7 linked regions of the Solanum lycopersicum genome follow. The protein of the gene in region 1 binds, or shares a complex with, the protein of each later gene. Links are inferred from orthologs where the notes say so. Each region holds a gene or a part of one and is shown in the gene's direction. Other genes may lie near its edges. The genes, in order: large ribosomal subunit protein bL28c, large ribosomal subunit protein uL24c, large ribosomal subunit protein uL4c, large ribosomal subunit protein bL9c, large ribosomal subunit protein cL38, large ribosomal subunit protein uL10c and 50S ribosomal protein L27.

What was found.
Region 2: large ribosomal subunit protein bL28c (region 1) and large ribosomal subunit protein uL24c share a complex: the UniProt entries of both Arabidopsis thaliana proteins name them as parts of the 50S ribosomal subunit. The link is inferred for Solanum lycopersicum from reciprocal best matches to the Arabidopsis thaliana genes PRPL28 and RPL24.
Region 3: large ribosomal subunit protein bL28c (region 1) and large ribosomal subunit protein uL4c share a complex: the UniProt entries of both Arabidopsis thaliana proteins name them as parts of the 50S ribosomal subunit. The link is inferred for Solanum lycopersicum from reciprocal best matches to the Arabidopsis thaliana genes PRPL28 and RPL4.
Region 4: large ribosomal subunit protein bL28c (region 1) and large ribosomal subunit protein bL9c share a complex: the UniProt entries of both Arabidopsis thaliana proteins name them as parts of the 50S ribosomal subunit. The link is inferred for Solanum lycopersicum from reciprocal best matches to the Arabidopsis thaliana genes PRPL28 and RPL9.
Region 5: large ribosomal subunit protein bL28c (region 1) and large ribosomal subunit protein cL38 share a complex: the UniProt entries of both Arabidopsis thaliana proteins name them as parts of the 50S ribosomal subunit. The link is inferred for Solanum lycopersicum from reciprocal best matches to the Arabidopsis thaliana genes PRPL28 and PSRP6.
Region 6: large ribosomal subunit protein bL28c (region 1) and large ribosomal subunit protein uL10c share a complex: the UniProt entries of both Arabidopsis thaliana proteins name them as parts of the 50S ribosomal subunit. The link is inferred for Solanum lycopersicum from reciprocal best matches to the Arabidopsis thaliana genes PRPL28 and EMB3136.
Region 7: large ribosomal subunit protein bL28c (region 1) and 50S ribosomal protein L27 share a complex: the UniProt entries of both Arabidopsis thaliana proteins name them as parts of the 50S ribosomal subunit. The link is inferred for Solanum lycopersicum from reciprocal best matches to the Arabidopsis thaliana genes PRPL28 and RPL27.

Annotation. Positions count from the first base shown.
Region 1 is NC_090808.1:67,409,465-67,413,588, reverse strand, and holds the start of large ribosomal subunit protein bL28c, read left to right. Parts: upstream 1-1,324; 5' UTR 1,325-1,473; coding exon 1,474-1,690; intron 1,691-4,115; coding exon 4,116-4,124. Other genes in the region: uncharacterized protein, read left to right, coding at 1-473.
Region 2 is NC_090806.1:68,736,217-68,740,514, forward strand, and holds large ribosomal subunit protein uL24c, read left to right. Parts: upstream 1-1,498; 5' UTR 1,499-1,628; coding exon 1,629-1,721; intron 1,722-3,129; coding exon 3,130-3,168; intron 3,169-3,478; coding exon 3,479-3,709; intron 3,710-3,892; coding exon 3,893-4,099; 3' UTR 4,100-4,240; downstream 4,241-4,298. Other genes in the region: calcium/calmodulin-regulated receptor-like kinase, read left to right, coding at 189-524. UniProt on the Arabidopsis thaliana protein: One of two assembly initiator proteins, it binds directly to the 5'-end of the 23S rRNA, where it nucleates assembly of the 50S subunit. Required for optimal plastid performance in terms of photosynthesis and growth.
Region 3 is NC_090806.1:67,227,920-67,231,266, forward strand, and holds large ribosomal subunit protein uL4c, read left to right. Parts: upstream 1-1,227; 5' UTR 1,228-1,718; coding exon 1,719-2,547; intron 2,548-2,620; coding exon 2,621-2,658; 3' UTR 2,659-2,847; downstream 2,848-3,347. UniProt on the Arabidopsis thaliana protein: This protein binds directly and specifically to 23S rRNA. May play a role in plastid transcriptional regulation.
Region 4 is NC_090810.1:57,591,530-57,595,607, reverse strand, and holds the start of large ribosomal subunit protein bL9c, read left to right. Parts: upstream 1-1,278; 5' UTR 1,279-1,423; coding exon 1,424-1,561; intron 1,562-1,676; coding exon 1,677-1,804; intron 1,805-3,347; coding exon 3,348-3,393; intron 3,394-3,529; coding exon 3,530-3,627; intron 3,628-3,702; coding exon 3,703-3,750; intron 3,751-4,078. UniProt on the Arabidopsis thaliana protein: Binds to the 23S rRNA.
Region 5 is NC_090803.1:63,903,610-63,905,884, reverse strand, and holds large ribosomal subunit protein cL38, read left to right. Parts: upstream 1-1,439; coding exon 1,440-1,775; downstream 1,776-2,275.
Region 6 is NC_090803.1:3,526,023-3,528,829, forward strand, and holds large ribosomal subunit protein uL10c, read left to right. Parts: upstream 1-1,374; 5' UTR 1,375-1,478; coding exon 1,479-2,168; 3' UTR 2,169-2,307; downstream 2,308-2,807. UniProt on the Arabidopsis thaliana protein: This protein binds directly to 23S ribosomal RNA.
Region 7 is NC_090810.1:58,850,415-58,854,602, reverse strand, and holds the start of 50S ribosomal protein L27, read left to right. Parts: upstream 1-1,388; 5' UTR 1,389-1,435; intron 1,436-2,674; 5' UTR 2,675-2,681; coding exon 2,682-2,948; intron 2,949-3,628; coding exon 3,629-3,730; intron 3,731-3,801; coding exon 3,802-3,987; 3' UTR 3,988-4,188.

The DNA of each region.
Region 1 (4,124 bases):
AGGAGCTAATAAAAGACGACAGCTCTGACCCTCTACCAGATGACAGTAGTGTCTCTGCTCAAGAGACAATCTTCCAAGAAAATCTCGAGGTTACCCGTACTGGTATGGTTTCAGAAAGGAAAGATGAAAATGCTAATCCCAGTCCACTGGAGCATCTTGAGATAAACAATGACTCACCAGTTAAGGAAGCAATTAAGTCAGAGGAAGACAATGGAAATGTAGACGATAGACCTTCTGAACCAGAATTCTCATCGAAAGAAGAGTTGGATGCTCCAGAGGAACTTGAGAAAAAGGAAGAAATCCCTATTACTGAAGTGTTTGATCCGGGCTGTGTACTTGTGGAGTTTAGAAGAGCAGAAGCTGCATGCACGGCTGCTCATTGTCTACATGGACGACTGTTTGACGACCGAATAGTGACTGTGGAGTATGTTCCCCTTGATCTCTATCAGACAAAGTTTGCTAAACAAAACTAATTTCTTTTGGCCCATTCAAAACCTTATGCAGATCTCCCCAAACTTGAACGACGTTAACATAGGATTTCACAATGCTTAACTGAATGTTTGTTTGCAATTTTTACCATTATTGAGATGCCTTGGTGTTAACCCTTTTGTTAGTGCGAGAGTCGTACCCGATTTGAAGCGGAATACATGTTTTCTCCCAGATGTAGAATGGGATGAAGGAATGAGCCATTGTATTATGTCATCTAAAAATTATGAACTTTGTTTTTAAGTTGCAACAGTTTACCTACTACTTACAATATACAGGAGCACAATCTTATGGCTTCTTGAAATCTTTTATTTACCTTCTTATTATTTTGCCTTAATGTCTTGTGCTTGTAGTTCTAAATGATGTTGGTCACTGACTCAGTTGGACAGTTGATGGGATAACAGATTTTAGGGGTTGTTTGGTTAGAGAGATAAGGACATTCATAACATAGTGTGATTGATTTGAAGATAGTAGAGACGTTCAATATTATAATGATTTGATTTTGGTCTATTTGTTTGGTTTATCATAAGTGGAACCTGAAGAGGGAGAAAACGCTTAATATTATAATGATTTGATTTTGGTATAGGCTTAATAATGATTTGATTTTGGTATAGGCTTAATACTCTCTTTGTTTGGTTTGTGATATTAGACTTCCACGTGAGTAAGTAATGGAAATAAGATTAAAGCATAAACTAAGATAACACAAGTAATGCAAATAAAATTAAAGCATAACTATGATAACATATTACTTCCAAATAAGTTAGATTTTGTTATTTATTTATTCTTTTATTTAAATCGTTTGATATTATTAGACTAAAGGAAAAAATAAGTTAAATATATAATAACAATAAAAAAAAATATGAAGGCCAACAAATAAAATCATTACCCACATCCATTTCGTTATCCACTCTTCACTTCCTTCTTCAAAAAAAAAAGCAACATTCTTGAGACAAAAAAGATTCTTGCTTTGAGGAATTGGTTGCAAAAATGGCGACAATCACAGCGGGTATAAGCCTCAGAGGACCAGTAGTGGGTGGTTACAGGACATTTGCAGTGACCAAAAGGGCTTTACCCAAGGTGAAATTCAGCTCAGAGTTGAGTTTTGTGACTTCTCAATTGAGTGGCATCAAGATTTCAAGCACCCATTTGAGCTCTCCTGCTTCACTTTCTGTTCCTTTCAAGACAGCCCTTCAACCTGTTGCTCGTAATTTCTCTACCCTTTTGTTGTGTTCTCTGTGTTTTTAGTTGTTGGGGTTGTTTCTTTTTTGGTCTAGTAATATGCACATGAACTGTTTGTTGTTTTGTTTGTTTCAGTGAATTGTTGGGTTTTAACAATATTGTGAATTGTGTGTAAGAAATTGTGCTTGTGGGGAGGCAGTAGGTAACCTTAGAATTAGTCGAGGTGTGCGCATACTGGCCATACACCACAATTGTCAAAAGGAAATTGTATCTGATAATTTGAAGTTTAGTTAAGTACTTGTTACTTAGGGTAATGGTTGTTGAAGTATGTGCAAACTGACCCCGACATTACCATTATTTAAAATAAAAAAAGAGTCTTGGTGCAATTGCAAGGTTGCTCCTTTGCTGACCTGAAGGTTACGAGTTCGAGGGGCGGAAATATTAACTTTGTAGACCTATTGATGGTAGAGGTGACATTTCAGCTTTCTGAATTTCAATTAATTGGATCACATGCAAAGGGATACTGTATGGTATACACCTTCGGTCCCTCTACCCATGAAGTAGGGATAGTAAGTTCTTCTTGAACATTGATGGGGAAAAAGGAAAGATGATAACTTTCAAATGTTAATACGATGAATCATCATTTTGGTGCAGGTAGCCTTTTTATTTGTGTGTGTGTGGAGTGGCCGTACTCAAAGGGTCACAGGACCGAAATCATCATGAGTGTTACTCAGATAATTGCTCATTCCATACCTGAGACCCCATTTAGTAGTCGGGTGTCTAGAATTCAGATATGTGCTTTGTGTTGATAGCACATTACGTTAGATTGTTTAGTACCAAGTGAAAGTTAGTATTGCTGATATGGGATGAAAATTATCCCTTACAATGTGGAGGATCTGAAGACATAGCCAAAGTTGGAAAAAGTTTGATTCAGTTGCAATTTGCAAACTAAATATATTGTTTTCTTGAAATCTGTGGTATGGTAAGCTGAGCACTTGACATTAATCACATATTATTAAGTTACATATGATAATCAATGATTAAAAACCATATTATAGTTTACTATCTAAACAACTTCTTATATAACTTCAAGAGGAGAGATTAAAGGGGTGTCATCATTCCAGGGGTTTAAAAGTCTGTCTACAGTCGCAAGAAATAGGGATAGGACAACCTCACCATGTGCAAAATTAACAAACTGGGAAGAGCTTGATGGACTACAGCATATTGATTAAAGGGAGCTGCCGCGTTAACTGCATTAATAACAACAAGATCAATAAAATACGGTATATAGTTTGGAAGTTTGTCCATAGTTGTCTTCATATACTGAATGATCCCTAATTTTTCCTCCTTGGCTCTTTGTTCTCTGACTTAAGGATTGCCGATATTTAAGGCATAACAGATTGTCCAAGTGAAGAATTATAAATTATTTCATGATAAATTTCTTATATAGATGGTATCAACAGTTTTTTGGTTAACAAAGTTTGCATTCCTTTGCTGCAATTCATAGACAAAGCTGCAAAAGAAATACTATATGCATGAGAAGATATTATAATTCTTGTCGAGGCCTTTTAGGTCTCATTAAAAACTGACTGCAGCCTAAAGGGAGCTTCATTTTCTTGCTTTCACCTCTCTTGATAATGAGCAGGATTTCCATCTGCCTATTCTTCTCTCCATGAAACTTGCAGCCTAATAGTGAAATAAAAGCTTTATGAGATTCAAAGCTTATGAAAGTAGATTTCTCGCTATCAAGAATATGTAAATCCATTTACCTCTCAAATTCACCTTCTGCATTTTTTAATATTTATTTACCCACCTGTGTCCTTATTACAAGTGACCAAACTAGTTAAAAAGAAGACGAAACCAATAATGAGAGGCTGAGAGAGTGTGTTAGCTGCAGATTTGGAAGGAAAAATCTACAGAACTTGAATCTTCGGTGTGTTCGCCCCTCTGGTGTACATTATATTTTGAATATGATGATAACAGCTTGGTTTAATTCGTTCTCATTGTATGACAACAAATTGTAAAGGGTTGACTTACCTTTTGTGAAATCCAGTAATGGCAGAGTATTTGGCTTTTAGATCACTGATGAAGCTTTAGTTTACTAATCAGAAAGCACATTATGAGAGTCATTAGGAGCACTATATCACTGACACTCTTGCTTGCTTTGACTCCCTTTCTAAGTTGCTGCATTTGTCAAACTGCATCCTGAATTCCTTTGTTTTTTTAGTCCAAAACTACTTAAAGCCTTTGAGCTAATAGGTAAAATAAAACAAATTAGGGACAAGAGTAATCAAATATTCCCAGTGAAGCATCCTTTGCCTTACATCATCATGATCTTTCCTTTCCCCCCCTGCTTTCCTGCATTTTTGTCGGTTGTGCTCGAATATCTTGGCGCCTCTTTATGATAAGTAGCGTATAGAATATTAAGAGAATACATTCTGTTTTTTCAGGTAGAGTAT
Region 2 (4,298 bases), on another chromosome or scaffold:
ATGTGATGTGAAACTTCTTTTTTTTGTGGCACATGTAGAGAGCACTGATCTCGAGTAACTTTCAGAACCCCTCCACTCCCCCCCCCCCCCCCCCCCCCTCTTCCCCTACAACCTCTTTTATTGTGCATATGTTTCTGAAGCCTATTCAGTCATATAGAAACTAAGCTCCATAGGATTGATGATTGTAGGCAGCCATGACTACAGATGGAAAAGGCGGATGGGAGGAAATCGCAGATTCCCGTCTTGATGGGAAGTATGATCTGCAAGAACTTAATGATGTAGCAGCACTTGCATACAAATGTGTGAATCGTGCTGCCAAGAAACGGCCTTCCATGAGGGACACTGTGCAGGTTCTGTCAAGGATACTCAAGTCTAGACACGAAAGAAAACGCCAGAAGCGATCTTTATCTGCAACAGCAGAGGAGATTACCATCAATGTTGAACAAGTAGATCATCGGAATCCAATCTCTGGACATCGACGTGTTGAATCTATAGATAGCACAGCTGACTCGTATGAAGTTTAACTCAGTTCTTCCATTTGTTTATTTTTTTGTTTCATCTTGTAAAATTGGTCAGGTTGTTAGGTTTCTTATTTACAAAAACACACTTTTGTCTTGGTGAGTTCGTTTGGGATACTTAGGGGTATGTTATAGTCTGAGTGTATGATAGCCTTTGTTCCCAATTTTGTTCTAAGTTTTTGTAAATTTGCGTGGAAGGTTAATGAATGGTAGAAAACGGGGAAAATCCCAGATCAGGCTTTTCCACTTCTTCTACATTAGTATCCTATTCAATCTAATTTTATTAAAAAAGAACCAAGCTTTTTTTATTTTTTAATCCCCCGATACTTTTTTTCAATATATTTATTTGTTCAATTCGTCTTTTATATGTTTTGTCAACCTATAAAACATTAAAACTTGATCATTTTTCCCTTCTTAAATTAGGGCAAATTGATACTTTACAAATTTATAATTACAAAAAATCTTCAAAACGGATACAATAATACAAGCGTTGATACATTAATCTAATGCGCGAGATGCAATAATTTAATGTATGAGATACACTAATCTGATGCGTGAGGTACATTTTATATATGATACACTAATCTGATGCGCGAGGTACATTTTATACATGATACACTAATCTGATGCGCGAGGTACATGATACACTAATCTGATGCGCGAGATATACTAATCTGGTGCGCGAGGTACATTTTATACATGATACACTATATGATGCTCGAGATACATTAATCTAATGTGCGAGATACATTTTTATACATGATACACTAATCTGATGCGCGGGATACAATAATATGATTCGCGATAGAAATTGATGTGATGCATGAAAATTGTGAAATTTTAGAAATTTGTAAAACTTATAAGGGATAATGATAATAATTAAACTAAAAGGTGAGATTTTCGTAATTAATCCACAATCCCGAAATAGCTGAAAAGGGACTTTATAATTGGGCCGTACTCGACCCGTTGAAGGTCCAATTAAGTTGGATCGGGTGTCCAGGGATAGAGAGAGAAGAAGACGAAGGTTCTGGTTTTTATTATCCTATCCAAATACTCAGCTCAGTGTTGTTTCTTCCTTCAACAAAAGGATTTTGCAGAAGGTTTTGAACAATGGCGGCTCTGCAGAGCTCCTTTACTGGTCTCTCCATCTCCTCCACCTCCTTCTTCGGCCAACGCTTCTCTCCTCCTCTCTCCCTTCCTCTGGTATGCTTTCTCATAACTTCAACTATCTGGTTTTCAAACTGAACTATCTCAAATGTTAATTGTTTTGTTTCTACAACTGTATCATTCGGTCCAGCTTGCTCACAACTCGACTAATTACGTAGAATACCTGCTACCTCTAGCCAGAATTGAATTGTGTTGCAAGTAACTTTCTCCATCCAGTCTTACATAAATGCGAAGAAATAAACTAGTGTATTGTGATTTGAACCAATAAATCGTAGTTGTTCACCACTGCATTGACCACTAGGCTATATCCTATCTGTTTATCTCAATTTCAATTGTCTTTGTGAAAGGTCTTTGTTTGAATAATTTGATTTCTATGTATTAGGGATCATAGGAACAAAGGTATCCATTTCCATTGTACTATTGATTATAAATTAATTTTATATTATTTGATTACAATATATTGTGAACTTTTTCTCTGCTTGGTCACCATTGCTACCTGAGTCCTTTCTCATATCATATGTTTTTTCGCTATTATAAGTTTTGACTGCGTGTTTGGTACGAAGGAAAATGTTTACCTAGAAAACAAATGTGGAACTTACTAATTTTCTAGTGTTTATATGGTAACTAAGCTAGATAATATTATTCCAAGAGCATTTATATGTTATATATCCAACAAAATACTATGGAGGCGAGATGGGATGGGGAGTGGGGATTCGGGGATGGACGGACGTGATATGGTCAAGAAGTGGGAGTTGGAGGGATTGGGTGATGATAACTTGAAATGCTACTTATCCATCTTGTTTTTCTTACTTCCACTACGGAAGTCATTTTCTTTATTTTGAACTTGAACTTGTTTTCCTAAAGAAAATATTTTCGTAACACAGGAAAGTTGGAACTACATACCAAACACAGTGTATTTCTAGCTGCAAGAGAATAATTTTATATATAAAGACATCTACAATTTGATACAGTAGTTCCTCAAAAGTTCTTCAAAAAGTCAAGTATATTAAGAATATGCTAATTGGTTAACTTAAACTTACCCCCTCTGTTGTGATTGATGTCTTCCAAGTTCTAACATAGGATGAACCCTGTATTTGACTTAAGGTTCGAAATTTTAATATTTGGACATATTTATCAATTTTTTAATACATATATAGGGTCTGAGTTAAAGCTACTGGGTGCTGCTGAACCCATATTATACATATGCCTCTGTGTTCCTCGATAATAAATCGTTCTCATATTATAGTTACCTGTATAATCAGAAGTTATTGGAAGCAAATATGGAATAAGATCTGTCTCCAGAAAATGCACTTGCTTGTTATTCGGTTAACACTTTTTGGATGTATATCACGCCTTACGCAGTTTGTCACTTTTTATTGTGTCAACTGTAAAACTGGATAATCTTTTGCCACTTTAATGACAATCTCCATATAATGCCGTGCAGGTTAAATCAGCAGAAGGTCCATGTTTGATTACAGCAAAGGTTGGTATCTTGATCCATTTTGGTCCTTTAGTATATTGTCCGAGATAGACATTTCCGGCAACTACTTTTATAGGGTTGCTGTTAATGTGGTCATGCATTTCTTTTATAACTTATGATGTAATGAAGGAAGTGCTCGAACTAACTTGTCAACAGCTTTTAAAAATGGCCACCAAATGTTTGTATTGCTAAACCTTTGGTACTAATTTTTATGGGTATGATATTCTTTTAGCTGAAACAACAGTTAATGAGAATTGTGATTAGAATTAGCTTTATCATTGAATAAGAGCTTCTTTTTATGTCTATTTTGCAGCTTAAGCGATGGGAGCGTAAAGAATGTAAGCCAAACAGCCTTCCAGTACTACACAAAATGCATGTAAGGCTGGGTGATACTGTAAAGGTAATCTCCGGCCATGACAAAGGTAAAATTGGAGAGATTACCGAGATCATCAAGCACAACAGCAAAATAGTAGTAAAAGAGGTGAACTTGAAAACCAAGCATGTGAAGAGTCGGAGTGAGGAGGAACCAGGCCAGATAGTCAAGGTTTTATCTCGATTTCTTTCTTCTCTATCTTGCCTAAAAATTGTTATCTTGAGATTTCATTTCGTCGTGGCTAGCATCGAATTCATCTTTGCCCTAACAAGAAAGTAAAACTTTGTGTTAAGATTTTAGATTGAACTTCCCCAAGTTGTTTGGATTGAGACGTAGTTGTTGTTATTGTTTCAGATTGAAGCTCCTATTCACAGCTCAAACGTGATGCTTTATTCAAAAGAGCAGAAGGTAGCCAGTCGGGTTGGTCACAAAACTTTAGACAATGGAAAAAGAGTCCGGTACCTCATTAAAACTGGGGAAATCATCGATAGTGCAGAGAACTGGAAGAAAGCAGTCAAAGAGAAGGGGAAAACAACAGAAGCAGTAGCTGCTGCTTCCTAGGAGATCCACTGGTCTGTAAATTCTAGTTCGATTTTGCTAATTTTGAATCTTCTCTCATTGATATATTATGATTCTGTTGTCACCTTCACCTTTTTAACTCAGTAACATAAGATTTTATATTAAAGTACATTTACTCAAAAATTCTGTTTGCCAGTACTATTACGTACTAGAGTTTGATGGTTAATGGGTCGAATACAAT
Region 3 (3,347 bases), on another chromosome or scaffold:
CAGACATGGATTCTTCAACTCCTAGTGATGATGATGATATGAATATTTGGTTCAAGGATTGTTACTATGATCAAAATGGAGTTGAAGATTTCACTAACTTTGTTGGTGCATGTAGGGAGTTTTCTTGGGAAGAATCTTGTGAATCTATGCTTTATGCGCCTGATGTCTGATATTCATATTGGAGCTCAACTAATCTGGATTCACATTAGTACTGAGGGATTCATTGTTTCCTCGTAAAGGTGACTTTGTACTTTGAAAGATTCAAATCTGAAATCTCTAATTAAGGATGAAGGAGTACTTATAGATAGTCATTGAGATAGGAGTATTGATTAAGACGTTTTTCATGGCAATTGTAAATCCCATATTAGTATAAATTCTTTTTACTAAAGACCTATGAACTTTCTGTTGCTTTTAATTCAATGTGGAATAAGCATAGCTTACCTAATTTTAGGATGTAAGCTGCAGAACCTATTTTTATGGTACATTTGAAATTATTAGTTCAAAATTTAATTGAGTTTGTTAAGTTTCAACATAAGTGGAACGAGGAGAAATTGATTTCTTTATATACTCTTGAACAATCATATCTCCTCGATTTATCTTTTGAATTGAGTTAAATCTAATATGGTATTGAAGTTACGTCCATCTCACTTCATTATCATTTAATATTAGGTCTCCATTTTATATTGCTTACATTCATGATATCTGACCATGAACGTGCAAAGGAGCGTTGAGTCTTAAATTGATTGATAAGCATAAATAATCTTGAACAATTATTTCCTCTTGAGCTAGCTACGATGTTACAGTTAGATTAGATTCAAGGTTTGTTTTCTTAACCGAATTCAACATACGAGTTGGGCTTAGCGTATCATGGAAAAATTGGAAAGGGAAGGCAATATGTAGCAGGCTGCATCAATAGCGCCTCAAAATAAAAGAAAATGAAGGTTTTGGGCTTATGATGGTGTAGCCCCAACTAACAAAAGACTTGATCAAGAAAATTGTATAACTTTTATATTATATCAAAATTAATAAAAATAAAGAGCACATTTCATAAAAATTTTATTTGTCGCTTACGCTCTAAAAAATTTATTTTTTTTCCTACACAAAAGAAGATTTAATTATGTTCTTAAAGTATTGTAAATTAAATAGACATGCCCTTCAACTCTTCGTCAATAGTTTGGCTTATATATGACCTTATCATTTTGAATGTGTTATTAGTCTAAATGAAACATTTGATTAACCTCATTTGTTGATTCATAAGTGAAAAAATTATCAAATATACTCTGACAACGATAAGCATAGAAAGAATAGAATATTTGTAGACCTTATCACTATCTCGTAAAGCTAGAGAGTCTGTTACGTCGTAAAGTTGAAGAGTTCATTGGCGCAAAAGGATCGGTCCTTCACTTGCTGATCGTTCGCAAGTCGAACTCGCTCTCTTGCCACGCCTTTCACTCACTCGCTTGAGACGGACTCAATCACTCTTTGAGTTTGGAGGATTCACTCTCTTGTTATTACCCGCAGGGAGCGCATGTTTCCGCAAATATGTCCCTAAATTTATCAAATATGTGCTCAATTTCAAATACTTTGAGGGTATATATGACTTTTCCATTTTCACTAAATTTATTTGAACAAAGAATATGAATACATTTTGATATCCTTCTTCCTCATTTGTGGATAACCCAATCCATAGGCTTGCAGTTTGCTCCTTCACTGCAAAAATGGCTACTTCTTCTTCTTTATCTTTCTTTTCTTCCACCATTTTCTTCTCTAACTCCAACACCCTTCACTCCTCAAAGCAGCAGCAGCAGAAACAACTCATTTTCAAACCCAAACAACAACAATTCTCCATCCGTTCAGAGGCCGCCGCCGCCACTATTCCAATTCTGTCCTTTGATGGTACCGAAGTGGGCTCCACCACTCTCAACTTAAAATCCGCCCCTCTTGATACCGCACGCGCCGTCGTTCATCGTGGGCTTACCACTGACCTGCGCAACCAACGTCGCGGTACTGCTTCCACCCTTACCCGAGCCCAAGTACGGGGTGGTGGTATCAAACCATACCCACAAAAGAAAACGGGTCGAGCTCGACGTGGGTCGAACCGAACTCCTTTACGACCAGGTGGTGGGGTTGTGTTTGGGCCGAAACCTAAGGATTGGTCAGTTAAGATTAACAAAAAGGAAAAGAGACTCGCGATTTCTACTGCGCTTTCGAGTGCTACACAGAATGCCATTGTTGTGGAAGAGTTTGATGATAAGTTTGAGAAACCGAAGACTAAGGAGTTCATTGATTTGATGAGAAGATGGGGATTGGACCCAAAAGAGAAATCTTTGTTTTTGATGACGGAAGTTTCAGACAATGTGATTCTCTCCAGCAGAAACATTAGCACATTGAAGATGTTGACACCCAGAACTTTGAATCTTTTCGACATATTGGATTCTGAGAAGCTGGTTTTCACTAAATCAGCTGTGGAGTTCTTGAATGAACGATACGGAAATGATGATGATGATGATGATGACTGGGAGGTGGTGGACGAGGAAGAAGAAGATGGTTAGTTTTTGCTTCATTTTGGGTATGAAGTTTCCTTTCAATTTTAGCTAACTCGTTAATTTGCTGCATTCAGGTGGCGAGGTGGAGGAGAGTGCTGAAAGTTCTGAGTAATATATGAACATGGGGCGAAAAGGGTCTGTTCCATTTTAGAGGAGGCTTTACCTTACAGGGAGCTTAGTATATTTCACTTTGAATTGTATTTTATTGTATGATAAAACTAGGTGATTTTGGTTGATTTCATGTCACTGACTGCATTTGTCCATTACCTTCGTTGGAATAGTTTACTCTTGATTTTCGTTCCGCTCTCATTACCACTTTGAGTTCTTGATTTTTATGATAAGAGTGATTAGTTACTTTACTAATTAAGTCTTGTGTTCTGGCAAAACTACATTAATTGCTTAGTAGATGAAGCTTTATATAAGATTTATGGGTTACAAGTTGTCAGCCAGGCGAGATTCAGCAAAGTAAAATGATTAGGAAAGCTTTGTGTTTGAGTCTTAGGCTTGAAGCAATTAAGCAAAGTTAAGAAAAGGAAACCTTTATTTGGGTGGAAAAAGCTTCATCACCTTTTTCTTTAATACAAACACAAAGTAATTGGCAGGAAAAAATGCTCTTTACTTTGTTTTGAGTCATTGGGGGCATATGGGATGCTAAGCATTATTAACCTTGAAACAGACCATATCTAGTAGACTATCTATGGAGGCAGATAACTTGGACATTTGTACTATCAAAATATGTGATGGAGAGTATATGAGTATCTCTAGGCTTTTACTAGAACTTTTGAGTTTAAGCGCTAATTG
Region 4 (4,078 bases), on another chromosome or scaffold:
ATATACAAAATTTGTTATAGCATATAAATATGAATTTTTTATTTGCCATATGTGAAAGTTGCCCTTATTTATATGTGTAAATACAAAACAATAATGTATGAGAGACAGAAAGAGTACGCTTTTACAAGTATGACTTTGATGAAAAAAATATGGCTAAGTGAATGTAAAATACTCTCCCTCCGGATTTAGATGACAAACTTTTTTTTAGTCAATTCTAAAAGAACGATACATTTCTTTATTTGATAAATAGTTAATGACACTGTCAATATTTTGTAGATGACTGGATCCCACTTATTCGACAAAACGTCTACAAAGTTGTGTTCTTTCTAAGGATAGTTTTGAGATATACAAAGTATTTTCATATTTTTTAAACTTCGTGTCCAATGTCCACTACTTAGTCAAGCAACACCACATGAATTGAGACGGATGGAGTATTATGTTGGGCTGTTTTTTTTGGATAAATTTTAGAAATCACATAATTTTAATATGAAATTATAATTCATCCCTCTTTAGTTTGTAATTTCATTAATCCCTTAAAAAGTAACACAAATCGGATACATTTATATGTAACTCGAATACATTAAAGAGTATCTTAGATGCATTATAGCATAAATCGGATGCATAATATGTAGTTCAGATACATTAAAAACTAGATCGGGTACATTATAAAATAAATCGCATACATAATATGTAACTCGGATACATTAAATACTAGCTCGGATACATTAATATGTAGCTCGGATACATTAAAGAAATAATGGATTTTAGAGGTCTTTAGAAATAAAAGGGGATATATGAAAATAAGGAAAATATAAGACGTGTATTTCAGTAAGGGTAAATGATAGAAATCTCACTTTTAAGTTCTCTTACTATTATTATCCCCTATTAGTTTTACAAATCTCCAAAATCCCTCATTTTCACACATCAAATTAACGTATCAGCACATCAAATTAATGTATCTCGCACATCAAATTAATATATATCACGCATCAGATTAATGTATATCGCGCATCAGATTAATGTATCTTGTATAAAGTGTACATCAGATTAGTGTATTATGTATAAATGTAATGTATCGTACTTAATGATTAATGTATCTCACACATCAGATTAATGTATCAAATGATACAATAATATATTATTGTATCATTTGAGAAATTTTTGTAATTATATACTTGTAAAAAACAAATGGTAATTTTGCCTTAAAAGTATGTGATTTCTGTCCTTCGCCCAAATAGCCTAAAATATTATAATTGGACTAAGAAATGGGCTTTACATGAATTGTCCCAATAAGTTTTGTTGGCCCATTAAGACATCCATTATCTTCTTCAGTTCGCCATTACAGATAAGATAACGCTATAAACTGTAAAAAATACAGAAAAACGGAGCAAAAAGTGAAGAAAAGAAGAAGGAAGACTTAGCTATGGCGTCATGGGGTTCATCTTCTTGTCTCCAAAATTACAGCTTAACCAAAAACCCATTTTCCGAAACAGTGAAATTTTCAGAAAGAACTTCAATTTTAACAATTGTTGCTCAGAAAAAAGCCAAGAAAGTTCGAAAGGTGAGCTAATTCTTGAAAATGTGATAATGGGTTGGATTTATAATTGTCAAAATCTCATTTTTTGTCCATTTATGGTTAATAGCTGAATTGGGTATTTTTTGTTTTGATGGAACAGATAATACTGAAAGAGGATATTTCACAGTTGGGTAAAAAGGGAGACCTTTTGGATGTTAAAGCTGGATTCTTTAGGAATTATTTGCTACCATTGGGCAAAGCTCAAATTGTGACAGCTGCACTTATCAAGTAACTCGTTTAACTCTACTTTGAACTAGATTTTTGCCATTTGATTTCATTGCCTTTTAGGTTCTTCTTTCATTAGCTGTACTTTTGTGGAGTTCGCGGTTGTTTGGTAGCTTGGTAGAGTTACGCAGGTATCAGTTATTTCGTCTTGTAACCTGCATAAGATAATACATTATATATTAGTTAGGTAGGTTTTTGAATTACAAATTAAACTTTGTGTTGATTTTATACATGAATAACTTATTCTCTAACTAACTGCCAAACATTGTATTACTTATACATTAAGTTAATATATGAGTAAGTTGCTTTTTTACTAGCTACAAAACACCCCCTTAATGTTTGTTAAAATTGGTTCTGCTTGTGTTGGATGGATTTTTAAGTATTCCTTTTGGAGACTGTTAGTTGATTTTAAGTGTTGAATATTCACATTTCCAATCACCCTGTATAGTTTAACGGCATAATCCACAGTGTGTCATGGACACCTGATGTTGATGTGGCAAATATATTTGGTTGGTGCCTAGATGATCATTTTGTAAGTTGGAGTGTTCAACTGACACAGTGGAGATGAGTTGAGGTGTAGATGTGCATACTCAAAGTTGGAGTGTTTTCTTGCTAGTTGATGCCGAGTTTGAGTGTTTTCTTGCTAGTTGATGCCGAGTTCAAGTGTCTGTTTCTGCATTATGACTAGTTAAATTATCGACTTAACCTTATTATTGAACTCAAGACTTTGGTTCTTCTGTTCGTTATCTTATTTTCATGCCTCATAATTAATGTCAGGATTCTTTGGTTCAACTATTTAAAATGCCACACACAATACTTTGCTTGGCTGTTGATGAGTGGAAGTATGTTATTACTATTGCTTGTTTTGTTTTATCTTTTATCTAAACCAATGGACCTATGTCGAATGGAGATAAAATAGGTATACTTAGTCTATGGGATCCTTTAAACTAATTGTAACTAGCTGAAAAGTGGACGGACCCATGGATTATACATATCTTCGTGCAAAGGTCGTACCAGAATAATCATTTTCGATACTCCTTGAGCAGAAACTCTGTATGGCTTTGGTGTTATAACTCTTGGTCAGTACACAAACTCTGTATGGCTTTTGTTCCCTGAAATAGTGCTTCGTATGATTAATGATTATAGGTTTAAGTAAATTCGCTTCTTTTAACCAAATATAATTTATTGATAACGGATTCGTCTTCAATACAATGTCCCACAATGCATAAGATGGATAATGGTTGGATATAAAACTTTAGATTTCCTACTACTTAGTGACTTTGTCTTTAGCTTTTGGGTGAGCAATAGGCCTAACCAGCTGTTAACATTAATGGTGTGATAGTCCTGTAAAAGTCTTATATATAAGGGATTTGCTATTTCATACTAAAGAACAAAACAAATAGGTGAAGGCTTCGTTAGAGATGGTTGTTAGAAGCAATTTTGGTTTGATATTTTTGATAGCTATTAGCGTGCTTCGCCATCAGTGAGAATTAACTAACTTCATGGATGCATTTTTATTTTATAACATTATGTACTTTTTACTCAGGGAAATGAAGATGGAAGACGAGAAAATTGAGGCTGAAAAACAACGGGTAATTAGATTATTCTGATTAATCTAATCTATTGAAAGTTGAAAAATATATACATTTTTTTTTTATTTTCAAGTCACTAAAAGTCTAAAAGAGTTTCATAATGAATGTGGTTTTAGTTAAACGTTTTTGATTTCAGGTGAAAGATGAGGCACAACAGCTTGCTCGAATTTTTGAAACTATTGGAGCCTTCAAGGTGAAGCGTAAGGGTGGGAAAGGAAAGCAAATATTTGGAAGGTCAGTGAAATACTAAATTGTGATGAGCAACTTGGTGAATATTTGATCTACCTTTTGACGTCATCTCTCTTGCAGTGTCACTGCTCAGGATCTCGTTGATATTATAAAAGCACAGATACAGAGGTACCATTTTCCAATCTTTCTGCCATAGCATGTAAATAGTAGTATGCGAACTAATTACTACTATATGTTCATTGAAGACTGTTAAAGTATATTGTCCTTCATAAGGTTGATCCTGTAATATGAATTTGCATGAACTTGAAAACTGATGTTCTCTGATTCATCTGGTTTATTAAGTAATTCAAATATTTTTCATGCAGTGCTTATTTTCTTGTGTGATTCCTTCTGTGCGATGTTACTTACTCGTTAACATCAGTCATCGAGAACAGTGGAGTATACTGATTCCATTTTCCGTCTATTGCTAGAGCAAAAACTGTTTTTTTGAAGCAAT
Region 5 (2,275 bases), on another chromosome or scaffold:
TAAAACCACTATTCTATTTTCTTTCATCTTTGACTATCAGGGTACATGATACTGGATCGGACACCAGAGTTATAAAAATATGCAATTTAACTCTTTTTCCAATAAAACAAAGCACTAATTGCCAAAATGCTAGAGGTAACCAACTCATTTTTACTCGGCTATAGGATGTTTTGGGCTGATTAGTGCAGATGAAGTTGGTCAATCCATTAATCTTGATGATTCATATAAGTGGGGGAACAATAAAGGTCACGGACTACAAATGGGATAGACTGGCCTATAATATTACTCACAAGGCTAACAGTAGATGCAAAGAGACGTATATGTTTGTTCTTTTATGTGTAAGAATCATACTCAGGTGTATTTTGTATGACCTACTTATTTTCAAGTATCTTTTTCACGGTGTTTGATTGTCATGTAATAATTGATTGAGTCGCCTTCAACATCAAGTGATTGAGTTCACGTTTGATGGATAAAAAACACTATTAATCCTTCTGGAGTGGGGTGATTTTACACATATATATTATAGCAAGGAAAGAGTAATAGGTACACGTGAACTCAAGTTGTGCCTAAATAAGCAACTAATAACAAAAAAGTGTTATTATGGTAATGAAAAAATAAAAGTATCCATTCAAGTGAAGTTTACTTCAATATCATCGAAAAAGGAAGGAAAATGAAACGATTTGACACCAATTGAAGGAACAATTTAACCTTTTAGAAGTAAAGTCATTTCCTCTAAACATGTAACCTACTAATAGTCAACATTCACTTCTCATAGTTATGTCCAAAATACAACTACTATGCTCCATATATTATACAATAACTTTTATATTAAATCATATAATATCAGAGAAAGATTAAAATAATTATGACTAGTTGAAAACATTACCAAACATACAGACACAAGTTGAGGAATTGTGTCCCATGATCTTATAAGATTATTACTCATTTGAACTCAATTAGGCCGTGTACTTTTGACTCTAAATTATATTCACTTATGTACTAAAATTTCATAAACTATTCTTTAATCACAATGACCTTTGGGTCTCTAACTAAGAATTTCTCCGTCTCTGCCCTTTATACACACCGTCCATCGCTCCTATCGATTGTGAAGTTACGTTTAGTTTTCAGACTTAATATATGAACATAAATGGTAAGTTATTATTATACAAAAATATAAACTATACATAAATTAAAGACCAACACTAAATAGAAGCAAAAGTGTAAATGATCCCACAGATTTATTTGGGCCAGACCAATTGTTGTTCTACTACATCCAACACTCAAATAACCCAAAAGGGCTTTAAGGCCCAAATGCCAAACGGTGTCGTAACCTTAGCAGAAACTGAAGTCACCAGAAGATAACGAAGGCAATCCACTTCAAAGGTTCCATTAAACACAGCCAGAAGAAGGAAAAACCTTTGAAGAGAAGAAAAAAGAAAATGTCAGCCTCCGCCATATTCGGGTTGCAGATGGCGGTGTTGCCGCGTTCCTCAACTGTTTCAGCGACCGGATTCACCGGCGGAGCCACCAGGTTGGCGTCGGCACCCACAAGTATCGGGGGATTGGTAATTGAGTGCTCATCTAGGCCACAGAAGAAGGCTACAGCTCACCATAAGAAGACACGTCCACGGAAGACTCAAGCTTGGGATATTCGACGTGGACCAGCTGTTTATGCTCCGTTACCTCCCTTACCATCGGAGTGGTCCTTTGCCAGTGATGAATCGGGTCAACCCGCTGCCGCCGGAGCTTCAGAGTCCGACGCCAAATCTGAGTAATTTTTCTGTAACTTATCATTTCGGCTTTTGTATAATGGTGTTTTCCGTCTGATACTTTGGGGAAATTTGCAACTTGTTCAATTGCAGTTTTGGCGCAATAAGTGATTTGAAATGAATGTTTTACGCTTTACTTTTTAATCTATTCAATGCCACTGGATAATGCCGTAGCTTGTGAGATAATAAACAATATCCTTCGAATATCGGTTCCGTATAATAAAATAGCAAAATTATATATTATGTAAAGCAAATATCAAATGTGATCGGGGAGAGGGGTCTCGTACTAAAAACAATGAATGAGAAAACAGTAGCTATGTTTGTATTTGCATTAAGGCAATATACTCGCTCATTCAACATCGGAATCCTTTGAACTATGTCGCAACAACCATTCCGATCAAAACCAAACTATCCAGTAGATTAGACGAGCCAACAATGTACATTTTATGTTCCTACTGTAAATGGCATATTTACAAAGTATGAAACCCAATTATTTGCCCTCCAGA
Region 6 (2,807 bases), on another chromosome or scaffold:
GTATTTTTGAAAACGTATTTGGGGCGAGTCTCAGGACGAGTCTCGGGAAGGGGCGTATCAAAAACACTTCGAGGTGTAAATTAAAGACGTAGATCCATTAGGCATAGGCATTAGCCCCAAGCATAAAAAAGTAAATCTTAGACGTAAAAACGTTCGCCCTTAATTATTTTATTTTTTTCTTCAAATCATATTCATGATATTTCTCAAAAAGTAATTATAGATTATTTTTTTTGTTCATTACCGATTATTAATACTTATCTCAAATAAAAATCATAAATCATTGAAAGATTTACTTTTGCTTATTTTATTAATAATTAAACTAAAAATTGAATATACATGTGATTATGCCCCTTAAAACTATGAGACTTACGTCTTGTGTCTCAGGACATACGCCTCACCATATACTATGTAAAAGATTTCACCTCACGCTCTGTCTTTACTATACAGATACAATCTATTCAAATATTATATTTATTAAAATAATATAATATAATATAATTGAAGCAAAGTCTAGGACCTGAGCAGAGAAAATAACAAAAATATCACTTGTGATTTTGATTACATTCAGAAATAATTTTTGAATATTCTTGACTCTTTAAATTTATTTTAAGCCAGCATTTTTAATTGATAAACTTGTAGATACAGATATACATACTTGAAAAAGGATTGACGAGGTGTAGAAGGAATAATATTGAATATGGTGAATTTTAGTAGTAAATAATTTAATTATTATTAATATTTGTATGAGTTATATTTGATAGGAGTATTATTTTATATTTAATATTTGATTTGACGTAAAGAAAATAATCTGTATTACATCAATTTTGAACAAAATTCTTTATTTATATAAGTATCTTTCACAAATATAGTAAAATGATGTTAAAAGAGTTTTGAAGAGCAATAGTGATTTTATTATGCTAATGCATGAATATTTTTTTTTACTAATATCCACATAATTCCATATCTTATATACACCTTAATGCCAAATACATCATATAATATTTGCATTGATTATACTTAATGCGACTCTACTATGAAATTCAAACAAAATTAATAAAATATTTTAATATAGAAGAAAAATTGATATGATTATTATATTATTTTTTTAAAAAAAAATTAATAAAGCATCTGAAAATAATGATAATATATATTTAAAATAACTGATCGAATCATAATTAATATCTTTAAATATAAGATAAAATAATTTTACATTTTATGAAATTATTATCTTTTATATATCATATCAAATCATCTCAAGAATTTTGTTAATAATAATAATAAAAATATATCTAACATAATTTTATAAATTAAAGACGATAAAATATATGTAAATATTACACCTATTTTGCCTTTTTTAACTTCTTTAATGGTTTGTTTGGTATGACATAAATATTTTCAAAAACATAAAGTTTATGAAATACCCCTAAATTCTATCTTAGCACAAAAGATAAGGCAATCCAATTCTCAAGCTATCATCAATGGAGGCTGCTCTCTTCAGCTTACCTTCCTCTTCCTCTCACTCTTACCCATTTTCCGTGAAATCCCACTTCAACAATCCCTTCATAATCCCCCATTCCAGTTCTCACCTCAAACTCAAACCCAGAACTCTAACTATTCGTTCAGCCATTAGCAGAACCAAGAAAGAAGAAACAGTCGAAACAGTGAAGCAACAGCTTGAAGATTGTTATCTCTTAGCTGGAATCAGTTACAAGGGGTTAACAGTTAAGCAATTTCAAGATCTTAGGGCTCAACTCCCAGAAACAACAAAGCTTCTTGTTGCTAAGAACACATTGGTACTTAAAGCAATTGAAGGGACAAAATGGGAAGCATTGAAACCATGTATGAAGGGAATGAATGCTTGGTTATTTGTTCATAGTGAAGAAATCCCAGCTGCTTTGAAACCTTATAGGACTTTTCTAAGGGAGAAGAAATTGGAAGATAATGATTTTACTGGTGGGGTTTTTGAAGGGAAGTTTTATGGGCCTGATGAGTTTAAGGTGCTTGAGAATTTGCCTACAAGAGCTGAGATTTATTCACAGCTTCTTGGGTCTTTGAAAGGACCTGCTTCAGCTGTTGTTGGGACTATTCAAGCTCCAGCAAGGAATTTGGTTATGGTTCTTAAGGCTTATGTAAAGAAATTGGAGGAGGAAGAAGGTGGAAGTCAATAATTTTTGTTGTAATTCTTGGATATGGTAAGCTAATACTATTGTCTATTTGGATCAATATTTGAAATTTTTCTGAGAGATGGAATTTTGTAAATTTTATGTTTTTGGTAGAATGAATTTATCCTTGGCCAATTGTTCTAAATTTGTGTCCTCGTATTTGGCGGATAATTATCTGGATTACTTCATAACTGTTTGAGAGGATTTATGTTATGTGAAATGTACTATTCTGCTCTTTCCATTATCACTGAACCAAGAAAATAGTCTGTATTCCTGCTTCAGCTCACTATATTTGTCAAATATTAAAAGGGCAGCTCGGTGCACTAAGATCTTGCTATTTGCTGAGTTTGGGCTTTGGTAGTAGTCTGGAGGAAGTGTGTAGCTTTATTCTTGCAGTTTCTTGCTATTGTTATATGTTGATCGCACTATATTGTTGACGTTATTGTTTCTTGCATGTATCCTCTGCAGTGCTTTCCTATTACTAGTTCTCATGTTTTCCTTATTGTCGTTTTCCCTTTTTGTTAGTACTTTCATTTACTTCACTTGAACTGAGGGTCTTTTGGAAACAACCTTTGTACCTCCACTAGGTAGAGGTAGGGTTTGCGTACACTCTACCTTCCCCAGACTCCACTTTTTGGGATTTCT
Region 7 (4,188 bases), on another chromosome or scaffold:
TAAAAATGGTGAAATTCTGAATTATTTTAATTTTCCATCACAATCTTTATCGGTATTTTACTATTACATGTTAAAACCATTGATGTATTTGCACATATAGATTATATAGCATGATGTTGGATTTAATTATTTTATTGTATTAATTTTATATATTGAAATTTAGATATATTTAAAATGTTCACCTAATATTATTTTTTAACCAATAAATATATTTATTCTTTGAAAGAATTAGGTTCATGGCATTTATATTCTCCACTTGTTCTTGTCCTATAAAAGTAAATAAATTAAACAATCTATTTTACTTTAAATATTCTTCTTTTAAATCCTTTAATTTACCAACACAACTTTTGACTCGAGCAATCAATTCCACTAACTAGTTCAAGAAGCATAATATGAGCAATTTTCAAGAATAATGTGGCATTATTGTAGGTCGGCGTGTTAAATAATCGGGTTGAATTAAAATTTAAAATATTAAAATGAGTTCAAATAAAATTTAAGTCGAATCATAACCTCTTCAAATTATGTTAGGCTCAAATAGGATAAACATTGGATTGGATCATGACCTGTGCGATTTGACATGTTTAATCTCAATAATTTAAACATATTGTTATTTTCCTTTAATAACTATTATTTGAATTTTAATTCAATAAAAACAGTTATAAAATTGATATATAAATCATAAAAAATATAAAATAGATTCTAATTTATGCATTCAATATGAGAACATAAATTACACCAATACAAAAAATACTCTTAAAACATGTTGAAATTAGAGATTACATTGGACACAATTAAAAATTATTTTAAAATGGGCTAAAACGTAAATAAGTTGAGATTGATCCAATTCAAAATATCTAGAGCTCCCGCCTATAAAATTTTAAATGAGTTAGACGAGTTATATATATTTAGGCTCATTTTGACATTCTTAACCGTACTTGTATGGAGGTATGCAAAAAAAAATTATTCTTATACTTTTTATCGAAAAATCATATTATATATGCCCGTAAGTAGGAGTATGAAATTTTCTCGATAAAAATTAAATTAAAAATTTTTAAATATGATTTCATTTTTTGAAAATACTTTTCGCAGAATATCAATTTGAGATTAAAAAACGTTTTCAAAAATATAAAAACAATCACTTGGATTTTAGTTTCGAAGAAAAGATATCTGAAAAAACATTTTATTTTACTAATTAAAATCATATTATTCCCCTTTACAAGTTCGATAAAAATATTTACAACTTCAATATTTATAAGCAAAATTAATTTATGTCCATAACTTATGTTCGATAAACGAAACCATTAAACTTAACCCGAAAACAAGCTAAAAAAAGCCCAATTCAAAACGGGTCAAGTATATTATAAAAAGGATGGCTGACATTTCTCTTATCTTTTTATCTCGAAGATTTTGCCATTGTGGCTCCATAATCCCCTCGGTGAGTTCATCTCTTTTCCCCTCTTCTGTAAATTCAATGTTTTTTTCTTGTACTATGTTTAATTGGGTGTTCGAAAATGTATTTAATTTTAGCTGACTCGCAAATCTTGGTTTACTATTCTCTCCATTTCAATTTGTTTGTGTGGTTCGACTTTGGCAAATAATATAAGAAAGTAAAGATTTTTTTTTAATCAAGTGGGGTTGAAGTAAAACTAATGTTATGTCGAATGTATCAAAATGTTGTTTAATGTGAAAAGTTAGAATTGAAGAGTTGCTATTGGAAATTGAAATGGAGGGGGTTAGTATTTATGCTTCACTAGGATTTGAACTTGAGACGTTATGGTTATCAATCTACTTTATTGACCGCTACTAATATTTTAGGTGGACTGCAATCTTGATGAACATACTAGTGTTTATTTTGTTGTTGATACTGGTTTCCTTTGATTCCTCTTTGTTTTGTGGTTTAAAGACTTGTCCTTTATGATTAAATATGGTTCTTTTATGACCAATTGCTTGCGTAAGGACTTATTTGCGGAATATTTTGTGGTGTAGAGTTTGCGAAATGCGTTTGTGGTGGAGGGGGGTTGATGTTTGGTGTAATTTTGAAAAGAAAAACAATGAGTGGAAGTAATGTGTATTGAAATGCAAGAGATATATAATGGAGTAAAGATAGTTGTAATGAGGACTTAAGGTACTTCTATTGTTAGGAGTGTGTGTTTTGTATTTTTTTTGAAGATTGATAATAAGCTCAGCAAATTGGTTTTATATTTTGATAAAGCTGAGTATTAAGAAATGACAATATTATCTAAACAGTGGTTGGAGCGAGCGATAAGGAGAAAGAGCTGAAATCGTAGTAAAAGGAAATGACTTATCTCATAAGTGAGAGTAGTTATTTCCCCCTTTTGATGGAAAACTTTTTTTCTTAGGAAATATGTTTAGGACCATTTTTATCACTCTTCTACTGTTTTAGTCATACCGAGCAGTGTTAAAGTCAGAGTCAAACCTTCTGTAGACTTACTATCAAAAATATATTTCTCCAATTTGTGTTCGCGATGATCCGGGGAAATTTTAGATTGGCGATTAAGATCCTTGGTAGTTGTTATGGTAATAGTTTTGTCCTCTTAGTAGTTCTATGCTCATATTTTTCCCATTGTTAAATATCACTTCCTTTCCTTTAGGCCTCTCATCTCTGATAGTAAGTACCACGAGAGGCTACTGAATTTCTTTGTTTTCTTTGCAGCGTATAAATGGCAGTGAGTTTGAGTCTTGTTTCCTCATTCAAAGGACTCTCCTTATCTTCCAATTCTCTCCTTGGGGTTTCTCTTCCCATTGCCCCTAAGTTCTCCGTTTCCTTCCCGTTGAAATCTCCATTGACAATTGAGTCTGCACACAAGAAAGGAGCTGGTAGCACTAAGAATGGTCGAGATTCTCCTGGACAGAGGCTTGGTGTCAAGATTTATGGTGACCAAGTCGCCAAGCCCGGTTCTATAATCGTTCGCCAGCGCGGTACAAAGGTTTCAATTTTACTTCTTCTGGATCTCCTCTCTCTTTTTTATTTTTGCCTAAAACTCGTATTTGCTGTGGAAGTTCTGATAGTTCTTTTGATTAATTAATAGTGCTTGAAATGAATTCGGATGAACCCACCCAAGTAGAGTGTAATTCCAGTTTTTTTGCTCAATACCTCACAAACATACTAGGTCCTGGCATCTTGTCAATAACTCTGCTCCATTCGTCTGGCTTTCTTCGTTTGGTTTGTATATTATTTGTTAGAAATATGTGGATTGTCTAGAGGGCGTTAGATTGAGTACAAAACAAGGTACTAGAGGGATACATATCTTGTCATTTGAAGTAACAGATTGCTATAAGGTTTAAGGTTTTGAGCTCGTGTCGTGAAGACATAGTTGGAAGTTCTCTTTAAGAAATGCACATTTGTTATAATCCGACTTGAGTTTTTTTTCTTTGCCGAAAGTGTCAGTTTCTGACAGTATGATGCTATGAGTAGATGTCGTCTTCTATCAGTTAGATAGTAAAAGGGTTTATGCCAGAGGTTGGTATTAGTTTTACTTTTTTTCGGCTCTGATATGATCCTGTTATCGTCTGTTTGTTTGCTCTAAGAGTAGTTCAAAAGTTGCATTCTCCGTTTAGCATTGCCATATATTCTGTTCCCTAATCGTTCTCGTGGTGATATTTCCAGTTCCACCCAGGAAAGAATGTTGGACTTGGCAAAGATCACACAATATTTTCTTTGATTGATGGACTAGTCAAATTTGAAAAGTTTGGACCTGACAGGAAAAAGGTTGAGTTCTTTAGCTTACTGCTTGTAGATATGTGGTACACGAGTGTTATTAACGTATACTGACTGTGCAGATAAGTGTTTATCCACGCGAGGTGCAACCTGAAAACCCCAACAGCTATAGAAACCGAAAGAGAGAGTCCTTCAGATTACAACGTGAACGTAGAAAGGCACGAAGAGAAGGTGTCATCCCTGAGCCTCAGTTGATAGTTGCTTCTGCTGCTGAATCCTCTGAAGATAATCCCATCACCACTTGCTGATAATGGTCTTTCGATTTTTCAAACATTCTGTTGTCGTTTTGGTTATTGCTAGTAGCTACTTGGGAACACATTTGCAGGCACATTTTCTAAACTGTGTTTCTGCCATTGTTGTCTTTTTTTGTTTGTAAATTGTGTTACTGAAAGCATGAGTCTTTGTCACAGTTTGTATGAGTACAGAATGAAATGTATGATTCAGAAGAT